Caenorhabditis elegans: one gene and its partners. The protein of the gene in region 1 interacts with the protein of each later gene in a pairwise test. Each region holds a gene or a part of one and is shown in the gene's direction. Other genes may lie near its edges. The genes, in order: sel-8, mdt-29 and glp-1.

The links.
Region 2: the proteins of sel-8 (region 1) and mdt-29 interact in a two-hybrid assay, tested with the Caenorhabditis elegans proteins (one study listed by BioGRID).
Region 3: the proteins of sel-8 (region 1) and glp-1 interact in a two-hybrid assay, tested with the Caenorhabditis elegans proteins (one study listed by BioGRID).

What each region holds. Positions count from the first base shown.
Region 1 is NC_003281.10:3,624,095-3,629,028, reverse strand, and holds the start of sel-8 (Protein lag-3), read left to right. Parts: upstream 1-1,886; 5' UTR 1,887-1,908; coding exon 1,909-1,964; intron 1,965-4,934. Other genes in the region: mrps-31 (Small ribosomal subunit protein mS31), read left to right, coding at 426-789. UniProt on the Caenorhabditis elegans protein: glp-1/Notch and lin-12/Notch proteins promote signaling by recruiting lag-3 to target promoters, where it functions as a transcriptional activator, probably as part of a complex with a Notch intracellular domain (NICD) and the transcription regulator lag-1.
Region 2 is NC_003281.10:13,771,553-13,779,525, forward strand, and holds mdt-29 (Mediator of RNA polymerase II transcription subunit 29), read left to right. Parts: upstream 1-1,903; 5' UTR 1,904-1,917; coding exon 1,918-1,965; intron 1,966-2,403; coding exon 2,404-2,511; intron 2,512-3,006; coding exon 3,007-3,216; intron 3,217-3,564; coding exon 3,565-3,795; intron 3,796-5,826; coding exon 5,827-6,174; intron 6,175-6,617; coding exon 6,618-6,878; intron 6,879-6,987; coding exon 6,988-7,107; 3' UTR 7,108-7,356; downstream 7,357-7,973. Other genes in the region: pdr-1 (E3 ubiquitin-protein ligase parkin), read left to right, coding at 1-47, 93-238, 329-761, 808-898, 1,178-1,382, 1,436-1,510, 1,557-1,698.
Region 3 is NC_003281.10:9,090,473-9,098,272, forward strand, and holds the start of glp-1 (glp-1/Notch intracellular domain), read left to right. Parts: upstream 1-1,768; 5' UTR 1,769-1,840; coding exon 1,841-1,980; intron 1,981-2,840; coding exon 2,841-2,956; intron 2,957-3,596; coding exon 3,597-3,659; intron 3,660-4,178; coding exon 4,179-5,087; intron 5,088-5,387; coding exon 5,388-5,628; intron 5,629-5,933; coding exon 5,934-6,669; intron 6,670-7,076; coding exon 7,077-7,549; intron 7,550-7,599; coding exon 7,600-7,800. UniProt on the Caenorhabditis elegans protein: Essential signaling protein which has a major role in germline and embryonic development; involved in cell fate decisions that require cell-cell interactions. Probable membrane-bound receptor for putative ligands lag-2 and apx-1.

The sequences.
Region 1 (4,934 bases):
TTCCTTTTTTCACGGAAACTAACGAAATTTTGCCGGTTTTCTAAAAAATCCAAAAAAAAATTGGATCAGAAAATTAACCATCAAAATCGATTTTTTATCTAATTTTGTTCATATTGATGATGAAAAACATAAAAATGTCATTTAAAAAGAAGAAAAATTATCATAAATTCAGCTAATTAAAAAAATCAAAAATTGAAACATCGGAAAAATAACTAATATCGAGAAACAATTTTTTTTTGATTTTCAAAAAAGGAAAACGAAAAATAGAAAATGTTTCAAGTCAATCAATTCATGAAATTTGGCATTTTTTTGTGTTGAAAAATTGAAAGAAAAATTGGAAAAATGTAGAAAAATGTTATAATTTTCTTTACTTATTTGATCATTCAAATCCATTATCCACCTTAAAAAAACCGTTTTTTTTTCAGAATTTCCAACGGCTCATTCGGACCAACAAATTCTTTCGAAGAACAAATCGAATGGACAACAAAAGGAAAACAATGGGAATATCCAATCGATAATGAGTTCAAAATGGGCGATGAATCGAATGTTTCATTCATTGATCACGTATTCTTGGAGAGACATTTACCATCATTGGGTATCCCGAAATCTGGTCCAATTGCTCATTTTATGCATTTGGTTTGTGTTGGTTTATCCAAGAATCCATATATGACAGCAGCGAAGAAGCGGGAACATTTGAAGTGGTTCGCTGATTATTTCAATACGGAAAAACAGAAATTGGTTCACAAACTTCACGAACAGGAACAGATTGCTGCTCAGAATGCTCTTTAATTTTAATTTTTTTTTAAATTTTTGTTTGAAGGTGGAGTACCGAAATTTAACCCGAATTTCGCAATGAGATGTTCTGAAAATTTCTCAAAAAAAAAATTTAGGGTGGTTCAAAAAATTTCGATGTTTTTCAGAGAAAAGCGATTTTTTGAGAAAATTTTGAAAAATTCGATTTTGTTTTTCTGAGAAAATGTAATAAATTCCGATTTTTTTCGGAGAAAATTTTTAAAAAATTCGATTTTTCCGGGAAAGTAAAAACAAATTTCAATTTTTTTTTCATAGAAAATCTGAGAATTTTTGATTTTTTCAAAGAAAATCAGAATTTTTGATTTATTTTTCAGAAAAAAACCGAAACAAAAATCAATATGCGGAATTAATTTTTAATTTTATTTCCTTTTAATGCATATTTTAGTAATATATTACGCGTTTACTCGTTGAGAGCGCACAAAATTATATAAAATTTGTGCACCCATCAATTGAAAATGTATCTAAATTAATTAAACTATGTATTAAAAGGTGTTAATTAAATAAACAACAAGTTCCGAAAGTTTTTAGGCTTTTCGGTGTAGAAAATTAGTTGAAAAATCGAATATTAGATAATTAAAATACAATTTACCAAGAAAAACGACTCTTGATAAACAATAAATTTGGAAAAAAATCGAATTTAGATTAAAAACCAAAAAAAAAACCTTAAATTGATTTTTTTGCTGAAAATACGAATTTTTCCATAACTTTGAACTGCGAAAACCTTTTTTTGAGAAATTTTCGGAACTTTTCATTATAAAATTCGAAAGTTTTGGGACATTTTGAATCTGATTTCGGTACTCTATCTTTTAATAGTGAATAGGATTTTTCTTCTTCTTTTTTTGTTTTGTTTTTTATTTCTTTAGGATTCACTTTTAATTGTTATTTATCTCTTTATCATTTTCTGTTTTTCATTGTGTACCCCCAGAGTTTTTTTTCCAACAAAATTTATCCAAAATATTTGTTTCTTGAAATTTGTTGAACAACTTGGTGGATAGATCCCCGCGAGTAAGAAATATATGAAGCGGAAAATGTATGAAAGTCTCAGAGACTCCAATTTTTGGGCTCTTTTTCAGGCATCAACTCTCATATGTGTCGATGGATGATCTCTCGGAATTCTTTGTGATTGAGGAGATGTTTATTTCGGAGCCAAGGTGCGGTTTTCTCTTTAATTTTGAATTTTCCGGGAAAAAATTTACCTAAAAATTGCCTCAATTTTACATGTTTACTCCGAAAAAATAAGCAAATTCTATGAAAATAAAAAAATAGGAAAAAATATCAAAAAAGCACAGTTTTCAGGGTTCCGTCTTATAAAAAATCCTTCTAAAAATTTCCGGCAAATCTGATATCCGGCAAACCGGCAATTTGCCGAATTTGTCAACTTCCAGTGGCTTTTGAAAAAAAAATTTCAATTGCTTTTTCGTATAGAAAACTGGATTTTACTACCTGAAAAATTGAATTTTAGATAATTAAAACTATATAATTAAAATACAATTTACCAAGAAAAACTACTCTCTTGCTAAAAAATTTTGGAAAAAAAATCGCATTTAAGAAAATTGAAATTTTTTAATTAAAATTAAATTTACCAAGAAAAATCACTCTATTGATAAAAAAAAATTTGAAAAAAATCAAATTTTGTTTAAAAAACCAAAAAAAAAATCCAGCAAAATTTGCAGCAAATAAAAATAAATTTTTTGCTGAAAATACACAATAATTTTTGATGAAAAGTTGAAATTAGCGAGAAAAATATAAAATTTTTTATACTTTTAAGATTTGTTGGTAGCAGAAAACAAAAAAATTCCACTAAAAAATGCCAAAAAATTTAAATGTTTTTTCCCGAAAAATTGCTGAAAAAATTGAATATTGTTTTGAATATTGACAAAAAAATTCAAAAGGAGAAAATAGTTTCAATTTAAAAATTTGAAATCACATACTTTTTTTTTGTAACATTTGGTGTGATTCATGATTCCCAACTTTGAAAAAAAAAACCATGAAAGTCTATAAAAAACCTCGTGTCGATTTACGCAGCTCGTGTACTCCCCGAGGATTTTCACCAATTCTTGGTGCATTTCCCATTCAAAGCGTAATTTTTGTTCTATTTAAGAAAAAGCCTGTAACATTGCCGAGAAACCTCGAAAATTGAGCTAGTTTGTCCTTCTAAAATTGGTTCTGAAAATATATTATTATTTTCTTTTTTGAGAAGTTGACCCTAGACAGTGTTCCTTGAAAACTCCTATTATCCGTATTTACACACACTTTTCCTAGAAATTTTTGAAGTAGAATTCACCCAAAAATATTCATTTTCTCTATCTAAATGCAATCTAAATTTCACCAACTTTTTCATTTTTTGTTCAATATTTCATCCATCTCCATCTCCTTCACTTCGACAGAGACAACGGAACCAATTAAAATTCGACGATGGCGCCCGTCCGGGACTAAACTGCCAAATCATTTATGTGGTCGTTGTCGCCTCTTCTCATCACGCACCTCCAATGCTTTCGTCCTTTTGACTGACTTTTTGATAACCTGTCCGCACTTTTCAGTGTAAATGTCTATGTGAGACAATTGAGTGAAATTCTTAGATGAAATTGAGAAGATTGAAATTGATTTGAACCTAAAAACTTGCATTTCATTGTGAAGTTTTTTTTTTTTTAATTTGAAGTGCTCTGCAAAATTTTGGTATTTTAATTATTTTTGCAATTTAGAAATTTCAAGCAAATTTTAATTCCGGCAATTTGCCGGTTTGCCGATTTGCCGGAAATTTTAAATTCCGGCGAATTGCCAATTTTTGTTTTTGCCGATTAGAATTGAAATTCTCATATTTCCAAAATGCAAAACCACAATTTGCCGAAACTTTTCTGCAATTGCCGTTTTTCCGGCAAATCGGCAATGTGCCGGTTTGCCAATTTGCCGGAAATTTCAATTCCGGCAATTTGCCGATTTGCCGGAAATTATTATTTCTGCCAGTTTGCCAGAAATTTTAATTTCTGCCAATTTGCCGATTTGCCGGAAATTTTCATTTCTGGCAATTTGCCGATTTGCCGGAAATTTTCATTTCTCGCAGTTTACCGGTTTACCGATTTGGCGGAAATTTTCATTTCTGCCAATTTGTCGATTTGCCGGAAATTTCAATTCCGGCAATTTGCCGATTTGCCGGAAATTATCATTTCTGCCAGTTTGCCAGAAATTTTAATTTCTGCCAATTTGCCGATTTGCCGTGAAAAATCGTTTCCCATCCACCCCTGCCTCGAATCTCTGCAATTTCCAGAATCTTCTTTCTAATGCTCTAGATTTTATCTCAAGTCCTCTGGTTCCACCTGTGACCTCTATAATTACCGGCTGCCAATAACTGGCTCAGTTCCAGGAATATTCATTCCAAAAAAAGAGGCATTGTGTCATAATTGCACACACCTGCAACTCGCTTTTTTTTGGATTCGTCCATTTTTGTAATGTGAAAAACTTTTTTTTTTCAAGTTGAAAATGAAGGACACCTGGCTATCGTATCCATATTTGTAGGTTTTAGTAGTCAGAACTCTCCATCGGTCAGATTAACCAATTTTTTGAAAGAATTGTAATTTTACAATTCTAAATTTTCAATTAATTCTGCCATGGTTTGTACAATTAAATTGCTATAAAAATTTAGATTTTCAAAGTTTTGTAGAGACATCAGTTAACAATTTTTCGATAACGTAAAAGATATCTGAGTAGCAAGCTTCACTTGGTGTGAGAGTGTCCCATTTCGGGTTGATCTACTTAGATCTACGAGAATTGCGGAAATTTAGACGAAGACTTCTCAACTTTTCATTTCACAGTGCTGACGTGAAGTTTGAGCCACCGAGCAGTCTAACTGAAGTTTTTTTGGGATTCTATCAGATCCAACAGTTCATACAATGCTTTTTCTCAGGATATAGCAAGTTATGTTCTCTATTTTGCACAGTAACTTTTTCTCCAGATCTAGACTTTCCAGACCATTTTCCAACATCAAAAGTACCCGAATCTTCCCTGTGTATGCCAATTGAGTTGATCCGGTTAATACCTCCTTCTCGGCAATTTCATCTTCTTCTTCGATTATGACGGCCCTTTTTGGAGGGTGTACCACACACATACACAAACACGTGCAGGTG
Region 2 (7,973 bases), about 10 Mb from region 1:
TAATACAAGATAGAAAAACAGGTCAACGTAGGAATCTAACACTTAATGTAGTGGACATTTCAAACTTTGAATATATACATTATTTTTTTCAGATAAATATAACTGGAAATATCGAAGATCTCACAAAAGATGTGGAAAAGCTCACCGAAATTCCCAGCGATGAGCTGGAAGTGGTTTTCTGTGGGAAAAAGTTATCAAAATCAACGATTATGAGGGATTTGTCACTGACACCTGCAACGTAGGTCAAGTAAATATTTACTTATATAAATAACTGGAATTGTTATTTATATAAATAACTGGAATTGTTATTCAAATAATATTATTTCAGACAAATCATGCTTCTCCGTCCAAAGTTCAATAGTCACAACGAAAACGGTGCTACTACTGCAAAAATAACAACAGATTCTTCAATTCTCGGAAGCTTCTACGTGTGGTGCAAAAATTGTGACGACGTCAAGCGCGGCAAACTGCGGGTTTATTGCCAAAAATGCTCGTCAACCTCTGTTCTAGTCAAATCTGAACCCCAGAACTGGTCCGACGTTCTCAAAAGCAAGAGAATACCGGCGGTCTGCGAAGAATGCTGTACTCCAGGTCTTTTCGCTGAATTCAAGTTCAAATGTCTAGCCTGCAACGATCCGGCCGCAGCTCTAACTCACGTACGCGGAAATTGGCAAATGACCGAGTGCTGTGTTTGTGATGGGAAGGAGAAAGTGATCTTCGACCTCGGATGCAATCATATTACATGCCAATTCTGTTTCAGAGTGAGTAAGAATCTAAATTTTTTGTTGAAATTGTTTAATTTTAAAGGATTATTTGCTAAGTCAACTGGAACGATTCGGTTTTGTCAATCAGCCGCCGCATGGCTTCACCATTTTCTGCCCCTATCCAGGGTGCAATAGTTCGTTCGATTTTATCAAAACCATTCAATTTTCTGCAGTAGTGATCCTGAAAACTAATTGATAGAAACAAAAAATCTTCCAAAAAATACAAATATGTTATGTTTCCATTTTGCAAGTCTGGCATGGTTTTTTTTTTGCAAAAAAAACCCCCACCCGTTCTATTTAAATTTATTTTGAAAATTTTCTCACATGTTTCAATAGTTTTTCAATGCCGAGAAAATTGAAAAAAAAAGTTTTAAAGAAATTAAACAGAACATTTAATTGAAAAATAACTTCAGGAGTGGTACAAGATGTGCACCATTTCCACATTATGGGTCAGACGTCGTACAGCGAATACCAACGGAAAGCCACCGAGCGATTGATTGCCGTGGACGACAAGGGTGTGACTTGCCCGAATGTCTCGTGTGGGCAGAGCTTCTTCTGGGAGCCCTATGATGACGATGGAAGATCCCAGTGTCCAGATTGTTTTTTTTCGTTTTGCAGGTATTTTGAGCTTCTAAATCGGAAATTTTATCGCAATAAATATCATCGTTCAGAAAGTGCTTCGAAAGAAATTGTGTGTGCCAGAGCGAAGACGATCTCACCCGAACTACAATTGACGCGACTACAAGGTGATCTCAGCGATTATCCACTACAAAAAACTGTAAATTCTTCCAGAAGATGCCCAAAATGCCACGTGGCAACCGAACGGAACGGCGGATGTGCTCACATTCACTGTACCTCGTGTGGAATGGATTGGTGTTTCAAGTGCAAGACAGAATGGAAGGAAGAGTGTCAATGGGACCATTGGTTTAATTAATAACTCTCTAAAATTCATCTTTTCTAGAGATTGTACGTGTTATTCTGTAGATTTTTACAACAATTACGGTGTGTCTGAAGTTACATTGACATTTTTTCTCTTCAAATTTTAGATCTTTTTCTCAATTTTTGTTGCTGAGTATTTCGCTCATTTCATACCTTTTTTTAAATGTTTTGCCAAATTTCAAAGAACACATTTCTCGCAGGGATCTCCATAGACATGTCAGGACAAGGACCTCCACCAAGTATGACGCCGCAGCAACAACATGTAAGATTTTTTGTGCTTTTGAACTTGAGAGTAAATTTTAGTGAATTTGAGCACATTTTACAACCTTTTTCGGAAAAATTTCACACTTTTCTACGGCTTCATCCTTAAAACAATTGAAGTCAAAAAATGTCTTTTTTTTAATTTTGGGAACAAAAAAAATTAATGAAAATGTACAATCACACCAACATGGAAACATTTCTTGAGCTTCGGGATATATCTCAGTTTTGGAGTGGGCTGAAAATTATTTTTTTCATGAAAATTAAAAAAACAACTTTTTCATGAAAACAAAACTCACCGCATTTTTTAACTGAAATTTGAAAATTTCTCACTCAAATATCCTTTAAAGTTTCATTTTAAGACGTTTTCAGAGCTTTTTTAAAACCATATAACCAAATTTTAAACTAGGAATAAAAAGATTATAAAATAAAAACATTTCAGATGTTAATGCAGCAGCAACAGCAGCAACAAATGATGCGGCAGCAACAAATGCAGCAACAACAAATGCAGCAGCAACGTCAACAGCAAATACAACAACAGGCTCAACAGGTAGTAATATACCGTCCAATTTATCGAAAATTTGAAATAGCACTTTCTGATAAATTTTTTAACGTAAAATTAAAATATTTTATGATTTTTTCCGCAAATTTCTGATCGAAATTTTTTAAAACATTAAATTAAACAGATTTAGCGTATTTTATCGCTAAAACTAAAGAAATTTGATAGGAAACATACCATTTCGGTTTTTTTAAATAGTAAATAATAACACTACGATACAAATAAAAAGCGCTTAAACATATATTATTCGGTACTTGTGTATTATACCCCCGCCATTTTAAAAATTAATTTTTTAGCTTATAAAATAAAAACGTGTGGAATTTTAGGCTTAGGAAAACACCATTCCTAAGCCTAACAAGGAAAATGGGTATCACGTTTAATTTAAACGGATAAATTAATGGAAATTTAATTAATTTCTAAAATGGCGGGGGTATAATACACAAGTACCTATTATTCTGTAAAATATCGATTTACCACAATTTTCAGCCATACCAACGAGCTCGAACTCCACAAATGGTACCACAAGGAGGCTCGCCGGGAGGTGCTCATCTCCAAATGCATCCTCATCTTCAACCACAAGGACAAATGCAACCGAGAAGCCCTCTAGTTGGAGCACAGCTTCAGGCTCCCTCGTCGGTGCCCACTGCCGCAAATCCGACCACTCCACAGATGATGCAACAGCAAATGGGCATGAATGTACGGGGAGATTTCTGATAAAACTTAGAACTATTGAAAAAATATTTGGAAAAAATTCAAAAAGGGGAAATTAGTGAGAGTTGGAAATTCGTGTTTTTGGAATTTTCATTTTCTTTTCTTTTTTTTGTGGTATTTCAGCATATGGAATGTTCCTAGTATTTTAAAACTGAAAGTAAATCCCCATTTTCCGAACTCTACTTTCATTCAAATTTCCGATTATTTTGTTCAGAATTTTTGTTGGAAATTAAAAAAAAACCAATCTAAAACAATTGGCCGTTCAAACATAAATCTCCAAATAAAAGTAATTTGTGACAATCTTTTTTAGCTGAAAAAAAAATGTAATTTCAGCAACCAATGTCTCTTCCGCCAACACACGTCTCACGTCCAGGCTCAGTTGCTCCGCCGTCGTCGGTTCCCGTCAATTTACAACACACATCTGGTGCACCCGGGCTCCCGGGCTCACAAATGGAGCATCAGTACCCAATGCATTTGCAGCCACAACAGCAGACATTATCAAGGCCGGGGTCTCAGCAAAGTCAACATATTCAACAACCCGGAAGCATTCAAAGACCTGGATCGGTAAATTTTCGGATTTTATTGAAAAATTTTAAAAAAACAGAGAAGAAATATACAGTGCTTCACATAATGATACGGCCACCCCCAAATTTTGGTATAACTCAAAACTGGGTTGAGATAGCAAAACATAGTTTCTTGTGAAAATGTTCGCTGTACTGGCTAACTTTCAGATAAGTATTGGAAATATACCTGAACCGTTCGTAAAAAAAGATAAACCATTTTTTCATGAAAAACCATATAAAAAAATCCACAAAATGATACGGCCACCCTTGGTTTTTGTTTTCTTTTTTCGTTTTTTTTGCAATTTTTTTTGCTAAACGTTAGGTTTCATGTTCGTTTGTGTTTTTACAGCTATGGGTCGTGGAATAACTTTAACTGACTACGAAAAAGGACAAATTGTGCAAAATTATCTCAAGGCTTCTCGGATCGTCAGATTTTTCGTGATTTGAAACGTTTGAGAGATATGATCACTCGATATGCTTCAAATCCTGCCGCTTATTGCACCAAAAAGTCTTCTGGTCGCCCACCACTCCTTTCTGGTAGAGACAAGCGAAAAATCGTTCGTCGAGCATTCAATTGAACAGTGACTTGCTCGAAAAGTAGGAGCGAGATGAACCTGCCAGTGTCTGTTGAGACCGTACGTCGTGTCCTTCGAAGTCCCAGTTTATCAAAAGACGAAAATTAATAAAGGCTAATTTCATTACCGAAAAACACGGCCAAAATCTTATTCAGTTTGCTAAAATCAGCCAGAGAACTAACTGGAGACAAGTGAGGATTACGGTATGATCATTCAATCTCATGTTTTGGTCTCAGATCATCTTCAGTGGCGAGAAAAAGTTTAACTGTGATGGTCCTGATGGCTACCATGATTACTGGCACGATTTGAGAAAAGAAAAGATGAACTGAAACCAAAACATGAGATTGAATGATCATACCGTAATCCTCACTTGTCTCCAGTTAGTTCTCTGGCTGATTTTAGCAAACTGAATAAGATTTTGGCCGTGTTTTTCGGTAATGAAATTAGCCTTTATTAATTTTCGTCTTTTGATAAACTGGGACTTCGAAGGACACGACGTACGGTCTCAACAGACACTGGCAGGTTCATCTCGCTCCTACTTTTCGAGCAAGTCACTGTTCAATTGAATGCTCGACGAACGATTTTTCGCTTGTCTCTACCAGAAAGGAGTGGTGGGCGACCAGAAGACTTTTTGGTGCAATAAGCGGCAGGATTTGAAGCATATCGAGTGATCATATCTCTCAAACGTTTCAAATCACGAAAAATCTGACGATCCGAGAAGCCTTGAGATAATTTTGCACAATTTGTCCTTTTTCGTAGTCAGTTAAAGTTATTCCACGACCCATAGCTGTAAAAACACAAACGAACATGAAACCTAACGTTTAGCAAAAAAAATTGCAAAAAAACGAAAAAAGAAAACAAAAACGAAAAAAGAAAACAAAAACCAAGGGTGGCCGTATCATTTTGTGGATTTTTTTATATGGTTTTTCATGAAAAAATGGTTTATCTTTTTTTACGAACGGTTCAGGTATATTTCCAATACTTATCTGAAAGTTAGCCAGTACAGCGAACATTTTCACAAGAAACTATGTTTTGCTATCTCAACCCAGTTTTGAGTTATACCAAAATTTGGGGGTGGCCGTATCATTATGTGGAGCACTGTATTTATAAACATTTTTAAAAAATTATTCGAAAATTCTAAAAATTTTTAGAAATTTCTCGAATATTCCCGTATTTTAGGAGTAAAAAAAGGTTCTTTTTTGAGATTTTTCAAACGAAATAGTGAAAAAATTTCAATGATAAACAGGAAAAAATCTTCTTTTTTTGAAAAAATTGTATTTCTTAAATAAAAATTACTTTATTTGGCATTTCAAGTGAAAGTTTGATTTTTTTTCAAATTAAAATTTTTATACAAAAAAAAATTCCAAAAAAGTTCAACATTAAATTTCAATGATTTGAAAAATAAAAATAACATTTTTTCGAAAATTTAGAAAACAAAAACCTCTCAAAATTTTCAGGTTCTAGCTCCAGGTTCAATACCTCCCGGCGGGCCAGCTTCCCAAACAGGACCCCAATCGATTCAAGTCTTCGGACCCGGCTCCGTGCAGCCACCAGGCTCAACACAGGCTCCGTCCTCAGTCCAACCGGCTTCCACATTCAATCCAGGCTCGATTCAGGCTCCGGCAAGCCAGCAGCCGCCTGCATCAGTTCAACCACCGCCATCTGCAGCGTCGGGCTCAACTGTGGCCGGTGCGCAGAGCTCCAAAGAGCCGCTGAAACCGAATGAGGAGCAAATTCGAATGGTTCAGGATCCTGTGGATTTGGTTCGAAATTTGGTGCAAAAGGATCTCAGAAATTCGTTGGTGGTAAGCTTTACAATTTTTGTTGGAATTTTGAAGAATAGAAAAAACTAAAGGTTTGAATAAAATTGAATGTTTAGGAAAGAATATGTAAGAAAAATTTATTTCAAATTTTTTTTTTCAAAGCATCAATTATTTTGGTCAAACAAAGAAAAAGAAAAATTCACTTTTAATGGCTTTTCAGAAAAAAAAAATTGTTTTGAAATTTTTGACATATTTAGCTGTTGTTTAAAAATTGTTTGTTGTTTAAAAAGTTGTTGTTTTTTAAAAAGAAAAAATCGAAAAAAAACCTCATCGAAAAAAAGAAAGTATTTTGACTTGAAAACAGAGAAATGAAATTTCCATGTTTTTCTTGAATAAAAAACCATTTTTATATCTTTATTCGATTATTTCAGATTTTTACATAATCAATTAATTTTTTGATTACAAAATCGAATAAATAAATTCAGGAAATGAACAAACGCGGTGCGGAGCTTGTGCGTCAGAAACAAGAAGGAGAAGTGAACGAGGATGGAAAAGCTCAGTACAGCAGAGCCACGAACGATTTTCATGCGGTTTGCGATGAAATTGACCGTACTTTGACGACAGTATTGGAGACAGCGAAACAATTGAGCAAACTTGACAAAGTGTTCTTTGATCGGAGCTCTCGAGATCTCGACGGGGAGGTTATGGTCAATTCTGTGCAGAATTTTGTGGATAATACTGAAATTGTAAGCAGGGTTCAGGCTAAAATTGTGTTTTGGTAGATGTTTGGACACTAACAAATATTCGTTGCGAAGGAGGATCGTTGAAAAAAGTCAAACTTTCCTAATTTTTCAGGTACAAAGAATGTTCGACGACACAATTGGAAGTGTGACGTCTTCAATGGAAAGTATGCGAAGACGACAGAAGAAATGGGAGGATCAACACAAAAATGATGACGTCGAAATGATGGAGTAAATATTAGTTATTTAATGATTGTTCTATTGTTCTCAAATACAAAAAAGCGTTACATTTCTGTAAAATAAAAAAGATAATTTGCATCTATTTCAGAAAATCATTTTCTCAATGTTAAATCTTATTTTTCTTAATTTCTTGTGTGTTTTCATCGCTCAATTATCGTTTTTCTCTGAGAATTGATTTTCCAATGTAAAATGAGAGATCTTCTTGTTTAAAAATAATAATAAAAATCACTTACTTCTCTGAAATATGCGTTTTAATCTCTCAAAAAAATTGAGATTTGTCCGTTTTTCATTAATTCAGACAGTTTTCCGGTAAATCTACTTTTACACCATTTGAAAAGGGAAATACCAAATTATTAAAACAGCATAAAACAAATTTAAAAAATTTCTTCAGTTATTTTCGGTCTATCTTTTTGTCATTAAAATAGTTTTTTTCCAAAAAATGAATTTCACATTTTTAAAGAAAAAATTTGAATTGAGTCAGATTTTTAAGTACGATAATTTTTTATTAGAAAAAAACTAATTTTGAGAAGAAAATAGATATGTAAATGGTTTAAAATGTGTACTTTAAAATGTGAAATTTAAAATTATTACACGGCCCGGCAAGTGGTACATCCATGCAAATGCGCTCTACTGATAATTTGAGTGTAGACCAGGTTTGGGCGCGTGATAACGAAAAAAGCTTTGGTCCAAAAAATTTAGAATTTAATTTCGGACATTTTTTATATGCATCACAAAAAAGCTGGACCAACCGTTTTTGAGATACACGCGCCCAAACGTCCAGGTATACGGTAGACAAATTGCGTACAGGTACCACTTCTCGGGCCGTGTATTATATGACCTCAAAAATTCTGAGAATGCGTA
Region 3 (7,800 bases), 5.5 Mb from region 1:
GTACAAAACCCATTTTATGGAAACATTCAGAATCCCCAATACTTTTTCTCTTTTCTCACATGACCTTATAGTTTATCTTCCGAATGCTGAATGTTTTTTCTTCAGTACAAATGTTTTGAATACCTAGGTAACCTCGAGTATGAGAAACAACATTAACAATGTTTTGGGAGAAACATGTAGTTTTGTACGTCCGGTCCAGTGAGAGTTTTCAACTTATTTTGGAAGAAATTTTTTTTTGACAAAATTTTGCAATTTCCCACGCAGAAATACGGTATGCCCCGTATCTCGCCACGAACATAATATTTTAAATTGACGGAAAGGTGTGCGCCTTTAAGAAGCACAGTAACCATTTTCCGGTTTTTTTTTTGAAATTGCCTTTGATTTTTACTTTTTTCTCCCAAAAACGAGAAATTTAATATAATCCATCAAAATCTTTGTGAACGAGAGAAATATAGTGAAAAACTCAAAGAAAATTGCGAAATGGATTACTGTACTCCATAAAGGCGCACATCTTTTCGAAAAATCGTGAAAAATTGCATCTGACCAACAGTTTTGCGTGGAATCTTCCTAGATTCAAATTTCCTATGAGTCATAAAACTATCATTTTATCGGACAATAACTACACGTGTACCTTGTTTCCATATGTTCTACCAATATAATTTGTGTTCATATGTGGCCAGGTACGGGAAATTAGAACACGGACTGATTTAGGAAGGTTCAAATTCGAGAACAATGGACGACTTGCTGCACGAAAACGTGGATTATTCTGAAACCGCCTATGTGATCACTATCGATTTAGCACTTCGGTTTTCTTTTTCCGTTTTCCTTTATATTCCGTATTGTATGCCGACAATAACGCTTTTTCTTTGTATAAACATTTCCAGAAGCAGAGCAAATTTGTTTATTCCAGAATTGACTGAATATTGAAATAATGTTTACAGACATACTGTAGATTTTTTTCTATTCAAACATGAATACAGTTTTTCGTATTTTTAATCTTCAGATAAGTTTTGTGTGTGTTTTTGAGAATAATATTTAAAAAAGATAAGCAAATATCAGAACTACGGTAAGCGAAGGGGTACGGTCGTCAATTGCGGACTTCCGAGCTGTGCACGGCGCCAAAATTTATTTTGAGTTTTAAAATGATTTTCTTTGTTTTTTTTTCTTTTTTTGACACGATAAGAACATTTTTCTGTATTTCTAATATTTTAAATGAGATCGTAATAAGTTTATTTAGCTCCATCACATTATTTTCGGAATATTCATCGCTTGAAAACGGCGTAAAATAGGTTCCAAGTAAATCATTGCAAACAAATCTCCGTTTATCGTTCTAACAAAGTTTTTCGTTCACTTTCTTATGTAAATCGTTTTCCCCACTTCTTCTTCACGGGAATGATCAATTGAAAGGCCATAAATTGGTTGTTTTCTCCACATTTCGCAACCAACATGCAGCTGTCGGATAGGCAATAAAATAATGTAATCAATGAGTTTTCCGATTTATCCTAACAGTTCTTTTTCTAGTGTTCCTATTCGAAAAAAGTACTGTTATCCTTCTTTTTGGACCGCCCATCTCAGGTGTCAAGACAATCGCAACACACTCAGAAAATGGGCGGAGTATGCCACCCGGCCTTCATTCGTCGCTCCTTGTCTTCTCCATTTTCGTTTTTTTCCTGTTCTCCGTTCTTTTTTTGTACTTTTGTGATAATGCTGAAGTGTTCTTTTTTTTCGCTTAACCGCATCTCTTGATTTAATTCATATTTTCTTTCAGATTCATGTACAATAACACCAAGAGCTGCTCTAACAACTAATAATAACAGAATCTCGAACAGCGAACACAACAATGCGAGTTCTTCTAATTTTACTCGCGTTTTTTGCGCCAATCGCCAGTCAACTTATGGGTGGAGAATGCGGAAGGGAAGGTGCTTGCTCCGTCAATGGAAAATGCTATAATGGAAAACTGATTGAGACATACTGGTGCCGGTAAGCATATATTTCATTCTCCCATGTCAATGTTATTCATCCGCTTTCTCATGAACCGTGACGAAAAGAACAAAAAAAAGAAAGTTTGGGCAGGTGGTGGTGGTGGGAAACAGGCGATAGATAAACAAAAGCTTGGTGTAGAGAACATTTTGAATAATATCCGAAAGTTGAATTATCACTGTCCATATTTCCCTCTAAGACATCATTAAACGCCACCCGGCTTGCAGAATGGGAACACAATGAACAGCAGGAGGCTGTCACAATGTAAAATCTCGTAAATCGTTCGGGAAATCTAAAAAATTGTTATTTAGTTTTCCCTTTTCTCTACAAACAATTCATTTTTCTTATCAATAACTTTGAGTTCCAAAGGCAAAATTTACAGCCGTTTACAGCCATCTTCCCAGGGTTGTCGGCGAATTTATATGGACGTTCATAAAACAATTGGATTAGCGTGTCGGTTCTTTAATCTTGTCTTTTCTTATTACTATCTAGCTCGTTTGATTAGTTATACAGAGAGTATCAACGTATTTATCGATAGGAAAATTGCGCCATGATGCTCTAAAATACATAAAATCGCTCGATTTATCTGAAAATAACACTTATTTCAGCTTAAAAATGTGAGAAAATGGTCCAAAATTGTCTGAAAGTTGTTGAGTGAATTATCGAGATTTGTTTTCTGATCACTTTCACGAATATATCAGCTGAAAAATTGTTATTTTCAAGTAAATCGATATATTTTGCCACGATTTTTGATTAAAAATACTGTAATTTATTGATTGTCACCCACCACTGGCCCACAGTCATAAATTGTCTCAATTGAATTACTTTTCAGTTTAAAAATAATTTAATCAAATTTACAGTTGCAAAAAAGGATTCGGAGGTGCTTTCTGTGAACGTGAATGCGATTTGGATTGTAAACGAGGCGAGAAGTGCATCTACGATGTTTATGGTGAAAATCCGACGTGTATCTGTCAAGGTAATTTTGTGAATCCTAAAATCTGTTAAATATCATAATATTTTGCCCGAAACGACCTATTTTCATAATGGGACTTCTCAAATCTTTAAATCAAATTATCGCCTTTTTGCATAGTTTGATAAATACTTTATCTCGATTCAAGTGTATTCTAATCAATCATTTTAAGATTTTAAACGTTTCAAATTCAAAATTTTGTTCCATGTTTTACTTCCACCTTTTTCTTCATCTGCCCTTTTTCATAGCGGCAATCTTTTTCACCACATCATCCATCATCACACTGCGAGTGTATTTTTCTTTGATTGTGCCCGACTTGTACGCAATTTTTTGTTTCAGGATATATCAAAATTTCGAAAACTTATTAGGGAAAACACGCGACCATACGTATAATAATTCTCCCGGGAGATCCCAACATTGACAAATTGTACCGCATTCGTGGTATCCTATTTTTCATTTCTACGCTCTCAAAATGACCGCTAGTGATAGATAGCTTCTACTAGGTCATATTCGCACATCTTCATCGCCTTTGTCATGCGATTTATTGCAAATGTTCGGTTTCATTGCGCGGGGGCAGTAGTATAAATCAAGCAGATGTTGTTACACAGACAGCCATGAGAAAATATTTATAAGTTTTATTATTCAGATTGCGAAGACGAGACTCCTCCAACAGAACGTACTCAAAAAGGCTGTGAAGAAGGCTATGGAGGTGAGTAAAGTTTGGATAATGTATGATTACTAATAGTCAATGACTTTGTATCACAATTATTGTTGTTTTGAGCAACAATTGACAGCTATTTTAATTTTTAAAAAGTTGCAAAATTGTTTTTTTTTCAATTTTATATTTTTCGAAAACACAAAGGACCAATGAAATTATCAGATTTTAAAAAATATAGTAAAAAATAAATTAAATATATTTAATTTAATTTAACATATTCTAATAAGAAATGCGCGAGATCCAAGTCTCCCACTGTGATAACTTTTTCCATCTGTTGTCGGAACCGATTTGATCTCAAATAAATCAAAATATTGCGTGTTCTTTTTCTCTATTTTACCGTAATGAGATTGACACCTTTCTCATCTCAAAGGAAATAATCGGCGGTTGGGGGTAATGAGGTGTGAATGGCTATTAGGAAAAACAAACTTCCGCCGGAATTTGAATTTAAATTCCACTTTTTTTAAAAAGAAGACAAAGGCCTATCCGTGATTAATACATTAATATTTTCAGGTCCTGACTGCAAAACTCCTCTATTTTCGGGAGTAAATCCATGCGATTCGGATCCTTGCAACAACGGACTCTGCTATCCATTCTATGGTGGATTTCAGTGCATATGCAACAATGGATATGGAGGATCGTATTGTGAAGAAGGAATCGATCATTGTGCTCAAAATGAATGCGCAGAAGGTTCAACGTGTGTCAATAGTGTATACAACTATTACTGTGATTGCCCAATTGGAAAATCCGGTCGATATTGTGAACGAACTGAATGTGCTTTGATGGGAAACATTTGCAATCATGGAAGATGTATTCCGAACAGAGATGAAGACAAGAACTTCAGATGTGTATGCGACTCGGGATACGAGGGAGAATTTTGCAATAAGGATAAAAACGAATGCCTCATCGAAGAAACGTGTGTTAACAACTCTACATGTTTCAATTTGCACGGTGATTTTACTTGTACCTGTAAACCTGGATACGCTGGAAAGTATTGCGAGGAGGCTATCGACATGTGCAAGGATTACGTTTGCCAAAATGATGGATACTGTGCCCATGACTCGAATCAGATGCCAATTTGTTATTGCGAACAAGGATTCACTGGACAACGATGTGAGATTGAGTGTCCTTCAGGATTCGGGGGAATTCATTGTGATCTTCCACTACAGAGACCACACTGCTCTCGGAGCAATGGAACGTGTTACAACGATGGAAGATGTATAAATGGTTTCTGTGTCTGTGAACCTGATTATATTGGAGATCGATGTGAGATTAATAGGAAAGATTTCAAGTTCCCAGATATTCAGTCATGCAAATACAATCCGTGTGTGAATAATGCGACTTGTATCGATCTCAAAAACAGTGGATATTCATGTCATTGTCCGCTTGGATTCTATGGATTGAACTGCGAGCAACATTTGTGTAAGTTCGAAAATTTTATTTTTATATACGACAAACGCGCCTTTAAAGAGTACTGTAGTTTCAAACGGTGAAATTTTCATCAATTTTTCAGCTTTTTAACATCAAATCTACATAGACTACACAGACTTAAATTTTGAAAAATCAATGGCAATCCCGGAGCAAGGAGAGTTTTTAAACTACAGTACTCTTTAGGAGCGCACATTTTTTCGCATTTAACAAAATTTTTGTCGTGGCGAGACCTGATACCGTATTTTTAGCTCAAGATTACTAGGCAGCATTCTTAATATCAACAAACTTCAGTGTGCACTCCAACTACATGTGCTAACGGAGGTACTTGTGAAGGTGTGAATGGCGTTATCAGATGTAACTGCCCCAACGGATTCTCTGGAGATTACTGCGAAATAAAGGATAGACAGTTATGCTCCAGACATCCATGCAAGAACGGAGGAGTTTGTAAGAATACTGGATATTGCGAATGCCAATATGGATACACTGGACCCACTTGTGAAGAAGTTCTAGTTATCGAGAAATCAAAAGAGACGTTAGTTTTCTTGGATACTATAAAGAATGCAGCCCAGAAAAATAATTTATTGAAGTAAAAAGCGGTTTCAATGAAATAAATACCTAATTTTAGCTCAAATCTCTAATTTTGCCAGCTTCGGTTTGTGTGACACGGGGAAGGTGTTAAATAAAATTTCTTTAGCTAAAATAAGGCTGTCTTTTTCCAAGATTTGAACTGCCATGATTTATTTGGAATTATTTTTTTGAGCCACTTGGAGTATAATGACGATGAAGATAAAATTCCTTCAAAATTTGTATTCAAGGTATTAAATGTGAACATTTCAGTGTCATTCGTGATCTATGCGAGCAACGAAAGTGTATGGATCTTGCTTCCAATGGTATTTGCAACCCGGAATGCAATTTGGAAGAATGTAATTTTGATGGAGGTGATTGCTCAGGAGGGCAAAGACCATTCTCCAAATGTCAATACCCTGCAAGATGTGCTGATCAATTCGCAAATGGAGTCTGTAATCAGGAATGCAATAATGAAGAATGTCTTTACGATGGATTGGACTGTCAATCAGAGTTATTTCGATGCCCAGCTCATATTCGGAAACATTGTATTGAAAGACGAGGCGATGGAGTTTGTAATTTAGAATGCAGTTTCATTGGATGTGGTTTTGACGGTGGAGATTGCAATAACGGAACAGAAGCAATAATCCTCAGTGATATTCGTATAAAAGTTCAAATTGATCCTATTGAATTCCAAGCTACCGGAGGAGAAACACTAATGCAAATCAGTGCAAATCTTCGAGCAACCGTACGTATTCAACGGGATGAACTTGGACCTCTTGTATTCAGATGGGATGGTGAACATGAAATGGAAAGAGTTGAGATGAATAGTAGCAAGCTCGAAGATCAATTTGTACTTTCGCATCACGTTCGCAGGTATCGGCAAGCTGTTGTCACTGGAATTGTCTTGTATTTGGAAGTCGAAGAAATATGTAAACCCGAGTTTTGCCGATTTTCAACAGCGCAAAGTGTCGTTGATTTGATTGCTGCTGGACTTGTGAAGTCTGATGTAAGTTATTTTTATGTGGAGTACGGCACCGGGCTGGAAACAAAATAATTTGGACCGAAATAACAAAAAAAATTAAATTTGTGAAAAATCCAAAAAGGTAGATTTCCGGTTCACTTTTCACTTTTTAGAAGAAAATCATCCGCGTTTTGCTAAAAATATTTGTAAAACATAAAAAAATGTTTGAAGTACAGAAAATTAGTTTTTGAATCCAAAACCAAAAAAACAATTTTTCGTCAAAATATCAAAAAGTCCCAGCACTGGTGGGGCTTAAAATCTATTTTTATGGTGATAAAATGACCAAATATAATTTTTAAAAATTAGAAAAATTTTATAGTATATTTCGAGCCAAAAAGCGGTGAACCTTTAATTGTTTGAGTTATGGAAAATAATAATTAAAACATTTTCAGGGTCGTATGTCTCTGGGTCTCCCAATTACGGAAGCAATGGTAGCTGTTCCAAAGAGAAACGAAATCGATGAAGGATGGTCTCGCAGTCAAGTTATTCTGTTTGCATGTATTGCATTTTTGGCTTTTGGAACTGTTGTCGCTGGTGTTATCGCAAAGAATGGTCCAGAAAGAAGTAGAAAAAGAAAAATGGTGAACGCAACAGTCTGGATGCCTCCGATGGAATCAACGAACGAGAAAGGTCGTCGGAATCAGTCAAATCATTCGAGTCAGTGCTCTCTTCTTGACAATTCTGCCTACTATCACCCCAATACCAAGAGACACTGTAGCGATTATAGTACCGGCTACAATGGAGAACAATATTCACAGATTTATCCACAAACTCTCGCAAATGGATATCCCGGTGATTACAACGAATTGAACTTTGACTTTCAATCTGAGACGTTCGCACCAGCTGATCTACCAGCCGACGAAATGTGAGTGAATCTTTATAGTTTTATTATAATTATTGTTATGTTTCTTTCAGCCCTCTCCATGTTCAAGCTGCAGGACCAGATGCGATTACAGCTCCAATCACAAATGAGTCAGTCAATCAAGTGGATTCAAAGTATAGACGACGAGTTCTGCACTGGCTTGCTGCCAATGTCAGAGGAAAACCGGAAGATGTCATTACAACAGAGGCAATTCGATGCTTGAAGGCTGGAGCCGATGTGAATGCAAGAGATTG